Canis lupus familiaris: one gene and its partner. The protein of the gene in region 2 binds, or shares a complex with, the protein of the main gene of each other region. Links are inferred from orthologs where the notes say so. Each region holds a gene or a part of one and is shown on either strand. Other genes may lie near its edges. The genes, in order: EIF3K and EIF3I.

Region 1 (4,578 bases), on a different chromosome or scaffold from region 2:
TGACTACTGCAGGCTGTCACTGACAGAGGACTCATCTCTGCTACTGGACTGTGAGCCCTGTGAGGGCAGGGGCCAGGTCTGTTGCAGCCACCAAAATGTCCCACCCAGTACTGCACCAAATCCAGGAGTTTGTGGCTGAACCCACAGACCACTTCCCGGGGAGTTCATCTACCTTGCCCCCACCCCGTCCTACACACCCGGCCAGACGGATAAGCTGGAAGGATACATGTGCCTGATCGATCATGCACTTGCACAGTGTGAAGTCGGTGTGGGGCAGATTGGTGAGGGCCTTTAGCAGGATCTGGGCGGTGACCGTAGTTTGAAAGAAGGCTGGGTTGAACTGGTACCTGAGAAGGGGAACAAGAGACAGAGCAAGAGGCCCAGACCTCTTCAGGTCCCTGGGCCTCACCAGATACCCAGTGCTGTGTGGCTCAGAGCTCAGGAATTGGCACGTGCCTGGGCTCCAACCCCGAACACAGCACTCTGGCTCTGTGACCTTAACCTCCCTGACCCACTTTCCTGCTTGTGGATGGGAACAGTTAATCCTCTCAACCATTCTGTAAGGCAGATGCTGTTAAGTGGTCACAAACAAACCAATACCTACGTATAGTCTAAAGCAGTGGTTGAGGTTCTGGAGCCAGACTGCTTGGGTTCAAACTTCCCTGACAAGTGACCTTGAACTAGTTCTTTTAAATTCTCTGTGTATCAGTCCCCTCCTAGAAGGGACAACAACAACCCTATCTACTTCACAAAGACAGTTCGACATCTGAGTTAATACATACAAAGCTTACAGCGCAGTAGCTACCACAGATGAGTGCTCATTAAGCAGCAGTTACACCAGTAACAATCTTAACAACCTCACAAATACAAAGTGTTCTTATCTCTCCTTTACAGACACCAAAACTGAGACAATGTATAAAAATTACCTAACTGCTGTGAGGAAAGGATGCAAATGCCCATCAGCAGGAGAAAGGGTAATTAAAACACAGTGAAGCACTATACTAAAATGATGACAAATTGCAGCTGCAGGAAAAAATGGATCCATCTCACAACCCTGGTGCTAAGCAGAAGATGCCAGATGCAGAAAAGCTCACATCACATACTATTTATGTCATATCCAACACAGGCAAACCTAAGCCAAGTTAATCAGGATGAATGCTTGTGTGGTCAACTCACATGAAGCCAGATCATGAGAGCATAAAAGTGGTTACCAGGGCAGGGGTGAGGTGGCTGGCAGAAAGCACACAAGGCAAAGAGCCTGGGAACCTGACAACACTCAATTTTGTAATAAGTGTGATGTCCACATAGGTTTGCACTTATACTTATTTAGCCATATTTTTGTGTTTTGTACCAACCTATTCGTGCAACCTGCAATTAATTTTTTAAAAAACTACCTCTCCTTCTGCCCCAACTGTCTTGGCTTCCTTGTCTTACACACCAAGAGAAGTCACATCCTGAAGACTACCCCCCAACTCTGGCCTCATCCAATGTTGAGAGTGGCATGCTGCGGGCTACGCTGTCACGCAGGTGGGGGTGAAGGCAGAGACTCACAGCTTCAGGACAGCCAGGTTGGCTTCCAGATCGTAGGCATTCTCCTTGGCCTGTGTTTCCACATACCGCTCCAGGGTGGCCAGATTCTCAGGATTGTACCTACAGAAGAATCAAGATGGGTGAGCAGAGAAGAAACAGGAGCTGAGGCCAGTCACTCTGGGTAGAGAGGAGAAGGCCACTGTAACCTGCAACTGTATCAAAGTCTTTTTTTTTTAAAGATTTATTTATTTATTCATTCATTCATTCATTCAGAGAGAGAGAGAGAGGCAGAGACACAGGCAGAGGGAGAAGCGGGCTCCATGCAGGAAGCCCGATGCGGGACTCGATCTGGGGTCTCCAGGATCACGCCCTGGGCTACAGGCGGCGCTAAACCGCTGCGCCACCGGGGCTGCCCCTGTATCAAAGTCTTGAATCAGCTCCATAACCTCTAATAACACTTATCCACATTACACACCTAAGCTGAGCTCTGACCTCCATCAGAGCCCTGGGTCTTTCCCAGATGTCCTCCCGATCCCTCCACCAATCAGTAATCACAACCTGTACACCAGGCCTCCTGGACATCTCTGCCACTCATCCCCTTCCCCCCTCCTCAGGCCCCTATCCTGGTTTATCCCCATCCTCTCCTGCTCGGCTTCCCCAACCCCAGCCCCGATGATTGCTGACTATCACTGCCTATTGCCCGGTTAGTATGGACTCTGAACTGGGAACCCCCATGAAAGCATGGCCCGGGGCTGTCTTGGTCACCTCTGGTTCCCCAGCACTGCCCAGCGCTGATGGAATAGATTTCAGTGCCGTGTGCTGAAGCAATGGCATGAGAGGTAAGAAAAAAGGAGATGAAAAGGCATGACACACGCAGTGAGAGGCTGAGGAGCAGAGTGCGGAGAAGCAGTTGGAGACCTTAAAGCAATGAAAAAGCCGAGGACTGCGAGGTAGGCAGGGCCGTCTCCTGCCCGTAGGCCCCTGTGGGGCCGTTTCCTCACACTCCTCCAGAAGCGGGAAAGCCTCCCCCGGGCCAAGTTAGGACCCGACCACCCCTTGCGGTCTCTACAAAATCCCGCCCACCACGCCGCGCGGCCGCAAGCGCTCCCTCCGGCCGGGCTCAGACCTGTCGATACCCTTGAGCAACTTGCCCACGTTCGCTCTCATCTGCTCAAACATCGCCATGACGAACGTCGCCTCCCACACCCGGGCGGGAGCAGGAGACCCAGCCGGTACGGCGTCCTCGAGGACCGGAAGAGGAAGAGGTGGCGGAAACGGAAACTACGTTGTTGTCTCCTCCGCGGCGCCTGCGGCGGCCGCCACGTGACTTTCTTCCCGGCGGGCGCATTTGGCGCGTGCGCACAAGCGCCCCCCGAGCTGGACCGACAGCGTGAGAAAAGGCTTAATGTAGCCCAGTGCGCAGGCGCCGTCTCCGGGCGAGGAGGCGGGGCGAGGCTTTTCCCGGGCCCCGCGCGCCGAGCTCTAGCCCCCGGGACGTGAGCGCGAGCTCGCCCGCGGGGACACGGCTCCCTAACGTCCTGCACGCGGCGTGTTGCGCGCGGTCGTGAACTCACAAAAATGTGCCGATATGCGCGCCGTATCTCTTCGTTTGGGCCCTGGCCAGATTCCCCAGGGAGGTGCTCTCTGAGGTCCCCTTTGCCCCAGGCCTCGGCCTCTTGGGCAAGATCCTGAGCTCTGGAGCCCTGAACCTCTCCCCGACCTCCGCCCCAGCCCCAGAGGTGGGCACCCCGAAAGCTGTGGTGCCCTGCCGTGCAGGGGCTGAGGTGAAGGGCTCCTGGACCCTGCCGCAGGGCGCTCAGGCCCCTTTAGGTTCCAGTCTTGCAGAAGGGGAGAGACCCCTGTGTGTGCTCTCATGAGTTACATGTGTACCATTCTGCACACTTTAGGCGTGAATGCACAAGCATGTGTCACATCCGTGGGGGTATGTGCTCTGGGTACAACCGCATGTATGCACACGGCTTTCCAGGCATGTGTCCGGCTACTGGTCTGTGCACAGTGGGTACACAGGTGGGTGTGTACATGTACCCCGGAGAACGGGCACGTACACTGCATGGCCACTCCTGTGCAGGCCTTCCATCTCCGGATGGTGGCCAAACCCTCAAGCACTCAGCAGAGTTTCAACTGTGGTTTTTAGCCACCGCCCAGAACGCGGGAGGGGGTGCCAGAGCAACCCCCCCAGATCATAAGATAGTTTGCATCTGGTTTACATTCAGCCCCGGGTCCTGGAGGTGGGGGGGGGGGTCCCCTGGGTCCCAAGGCAAGCTACCCCTCACAGGCTCTCAGGGCCCAGGGGATAGGGGGTGGAGCCGGCTGCACAGCCCTGTGCTGGGGCAGGAAGCGAGAGTGGGGAGGGGGGAGGCCACAGCCAGCGGAGGCAAGGCTAGGCGGGTGCAGGGCGCAGGACGTGTGGGGAGGGAGGGAGGTGCCACACTCGAGCCCTGAGGCCCTGCTGGCCCCTGGGCGCAGGCCCAGCTCCAGCGCCCAGGGATGGACCTCGTGGACCCCGACATTTTTAATCGAGACCCCCGGGACCACTATGACCTCCTGCAGCGGCTGGGTGGCGGCACCTATGGAGAAGTCTTCAAGGTGAGGACACCCCTCCTTCTCCATCACCCTCAAACCAGCGAGCCATTGGGATGGGGCCCAAGAAAGGAAGGGGATGATAGAGGATCCCAGTCCCTGGCTTTGGCTCAGGGATGCTGAGGAGGAACTCAGGCGAATGGAGCCTGCCTGACTGCCAACTTCCCCTTTACAAGGCTCGAGACAAGGTGACGGGGGACCTGGTGGCAGTGAAGATGGTGAAGATGGAGCCTGGTGAGGACACAGGAGCTCCTTCCCCTCACCCCTATGCCTCCTCTCCGGACACTGGGATCGCCTCCCCCACACTCCCTTCCCACAGTGGCCTTTTCTTTCCTGTTCCTCCTCACAGACGATGATGTTTCCACACTTCAGAAGGAAATCCTCATCTTGAAAACTTGCCGGCATGCCAACATCGTGGCCTACCACGGGAGTTATCTCTGGTGATGA
Region 2 (3,465 bases):
ACTTGAACCCACTCCTTGTGGTCTGGGCTCAACCAGCCAAATGAGCAACGGAAGCTCCGGAACTCACTCTACATCCCGAATCCCTTGGCCATCTGGCCCTCTGTGGAGCCCCAGAGCCTGCGACTGTGGCAAGGTAACCCCCAATCCCACCTTCTCCCCTGTGGAGCTAGCCCCTCTGCCCAGCTTCATCTGTCCTCCTCCACAGGCCTGTTTCTGCACTGGATCTGCCTGCCTGAACCTTCAGAGGTGGCATGGGAGAAGGTGTGGCAAATAGTGACAGATAAGGAGAAAACAGAGGGCTGTCAGCCGACAGTTACAACCTCTGAGCTCCAACATTAAGTGCTGGCTCCTTGGATGATGGCTGTAATGTTCCTGAGACACCCCTCACCCCACAGGGTCCCTCAGCACCATTGGACCTTGGATCAGGGCGTCTGCAGCCCAGCCTAATCCAAAACATACAGAAGCTCCAGGTTTGACGCATCTTATAGTGTCAGGAGAAGGTCTAAATAATAAAGATCTCCACGACTAGTATACATTTTCTGGGGTGTCACTAAGAAGGGAAATGAATGAAATAGTCCCCACAAAATTTCTGACCAGAAACCACTTATTTCCAAACTAATTTACTTCTCAGAGTCCAAAACTTTGTGAGCCCTGGCCCAGAAATTTCCCCTGGCCCTGATGGAGATCCAAGCTTCTTAAGCCTCAAACTCAAATTCAAAGTACTGTGGGTCGAAGTAGTGGATGCGGACATAACCATCTTCACCGCCGCTGCTATAGCTGGAGAGGGAGAGAAAGTCAGGGACCAGTCAGGTGTCCCCTCTGGGGGAAGGCTGGCCCCAGTGGAGGAGGGAGGGAGAGGGAGGGCAGGGCACGGGAAAGGGCCAGAGGCCAGATCTGGGCTGAGCTCAGTTTCCTGCACGAAGCCCTCCCTACCTCTTGCCATCGGGATGGAAGGCAACGCTGTTGATGGGTCCGAAGTGACCCTTGACTCTTCCAAACTCTTCTTCAAAGGCCAAGTGGAAAAACCTGGAAGGGGATGGTGGGAAGGGACAAGTCACTCTCCATCTCCTCTCAAAACACAATGCATGTACCACTCCCCAAAGGGAAAGCAAAAAGTGGGGAAATGGGGATGAGGGGGAATGAATGTGAACAAAATAAGAGGAGGCAAAGACTGGACCCAAGTGTCTGCCTGCATACCCAGCTAACATTTCCTTACGGTGTGCTGGGCAACGAATAGTAACTCATGCATTTGATCTGCACAATTTTATAAGGTAAGAATATTATCGTTGTCTCCATTTACAGTGGAGGAAACCAGGCACAGATAAATAGGAGGAAGGGTCCAGGACCTCAGAGTGAGCCCAAGGTCATGCTCATAACTGCTACATTATACACATGTCCTAGGAAGGCCACAAATCTGGGTGTACCGCCTAGCAGGCAAGGAAATAAGGGAAGTCTCCACAAGTATATGGTTTGTGTCCATCATGAAAGACACTCTGTGGGGTTTCAATGTGAAAGAGCCCCCTCCCTCTTTACCTGGCTTCAAACTTGCCAATCCTGGTGGAGGTGGTGGTTACATCCATGGCTTCCTGACCACCACCCAGCACCACCTGAAGGGAAAAAGAAACTCTAGACAGCCCAAAAGGGCTGCCAAGTCCATCTTCCGTGTTTCACCCCTAGCCCCATCAGACTGAGAGGATGCTAAGGGCAGGACCCAAACAGCTACTTCAGCCACCTCCTACCCTGCCCCCTCGGGCTTTCCAAGAATTCAGCCTTCTCATTGCTCTGGGAATCTCCTCTCTGCCTGACACTATTTCCCAAAGAGTTCCTATCTCAATTGCTTGGTGAACACTTAGATCTTGGAAGTATTCTGAGGCTGCAGCAGGAAGCCTGGGTGGGGTTCCCTTACATGGTCATAGTTGGGAGAGAGGGCAGCTGAGTTGACTGGACGTTCTGTCCGGAAAGTCTTCTGGTGTTCAAGAGTTGTGGAGTCAAAGAGCTAGAAAGAGAAGATGGGGGGGGAGGGGAATCTATAAAAGGAGTTTTCTTGAGGGAAAGTTGGTCAAGTTGAAAGCTTTGTAGGGGAGTAGGAGCAGCCCCACCAGACTCCTTGCCCAGGCTCACCTTAGCTGTGTTGTCCTTGGAAGCAGTGACAAACATGGTCATGTCCCTGGATAACTGGATATCATTGATCTGCCGGGAGTGCTCCTTAACATTCACCAGTACTTCTCCAGACTGGGGAAGGCAGAAGAGTGAGGCTCTGGGTGGCCTGAACTCCACCAGCACCACTGCTCCACCGGGGTTGTTCTATACTGCTCCCTGTCTGGGCTGGGGGGGCGGGGCGGGGGGGGAGGCCTGGGTCGGGTGGGCCTAAGTATCCCCTGAACCAACATTCACCTCCGCCACTGCCCCCAAGCCCACATCCTAAACCTCACCCATGCGTACACATTTCATAAACACAGCTAGTTCATCTAGGAAAACACATGCTCATGATGACAAATCTATGGACCTATTAACGAATCAGGACATTACAATGGTAGAGACATCCTTCACTCACTCCTTCTTTTAACAAATAGTCACTGAATTGTGTGAATAGTCACATTTGCCAAATATTGTGCTACATAATGAATGAAGTCAGCTGACTTCATCCTCACAACCATCCTACGAAGTGGGTATTTTATTTTATTTTATTTATTTTTTTATTTTATTTATTTATTTATTTTTTAATTTTTTAAAATTTATTTATGATAGTCACAGAGAGAGAGAGAGAGAGAGGCAGAGACATAGGCAGAGGGAGAAGCAGGCTCCATGCACCGGGAGCCCGACGTGGGATTCGATCCCGGGTCTCCAGGATCGCGCCTGGGCCAAAGGCAGGCGCCAAACCGCTGCGCCACCCAGGGTTCCCGAAGTGGGTATTTTAAAGGACATTTTCTTTTTTCTTTTTTCCTTTTTTAGGATTTTATTTATTTATTTGACAGAGAGATAGAGCACAAGCAGAGGGAGCAGCAGGCAAAGGGAGAAACAGGCTCCTTGCTTGGCCGGGAGGGGAGTTCAATCCCAGGACCTTCGGATCATGACCTGAGCTGAAGGCAGAGGCTTAACTGACTGAGCCACCCAGGCTCACCCCTTAAAGGACATTTTCAAAGGAAGAAAGTAAGGTTCATAGGGATGATATGACTCGCTGGAGGTCCTGCCACATGTAAGATGTAGAGAGCCTGTGCTCACCCCCTTCCCAGCTAGTTTGGAGCCACAGTCCACCAGTACTGCTGCATGTCTAGCTTTTTTTTAGATCTTTCAAAGGGTCATTTCATCTCCTTACTTCCCTTCCCATTCAGCAACCTGCTAGCCTGTAGAGTACAAAGGGCAGAGCTTTAGAGTCTGCCCTCAGAAGCACCTCTCTCTGCCTCAATTTCTCTATCTAGAAAACAAGATTACTAAAAGTACACCACCCAGGTCACCAGAGGGATA

Evidence for each region.
Region 1: EIF3I (region 2) and EIF3K share a complex: the UniProt entries of both Homo sapiens proteins name them as parts of the eukaryotic translation initiation factor 3 (eIF-3) complex. The link is inferred for Canis lupus familiaris from reciprocal best matches to the Homo sapiens genes EIF3I and EIF3K.

The regions. Positions count from the first base shown.
Region 1 is NC_049222.1:115,272,305-115,276,882, forward strand, and holds the start of EIF3K (eukaryotic translation initiation factor 3 subunit K), read right to left. Parts: upstream 2,815-4,578; 5' UTR 2,716-2,814; coding exon 2,657-2,715; intron 1,651-2,656; coding exon 1,552-1,650; intron 348-1,551; coding exon 227-347; intron 1-226. Other genes in the region: MAP4K1 (mitogen-activated protein kinase kinase kinase kinase 1), read left to right, coding at 4,039-4,137, 4,308-4,365, 4,481-4,571. UniProt on the Homo sapiens protein: Component of the eukaryotic translation initiation factor 3 (eIF-3) complex, which is required for several steps in the initiation of protein synthesis.
Region 2 is NC_049223.1:68,375,143-68,378,607, forward strand, and holds the end of EIF3I (eukaryotic translation initiation factor 3 subunit I), read right to left. Parts: intron 2,233-3,465; coding exon 2,122-2,232; intron 1,997-2,121; coding exon 1,907-1,996; intron 1,608-1,906; coding exon 1,534-1,607; intron 1,027-1,533; coding exon 934-1,026; intron 778-933; coding exon 696-777; 3' UTR 605-695; downstream 1-604. UniProt on the Homo sapiens protein: Component of the eukaryotic translation initiation factor 3 (eIF-3) complex, which is required for several steps in the initiation of protein synthesis.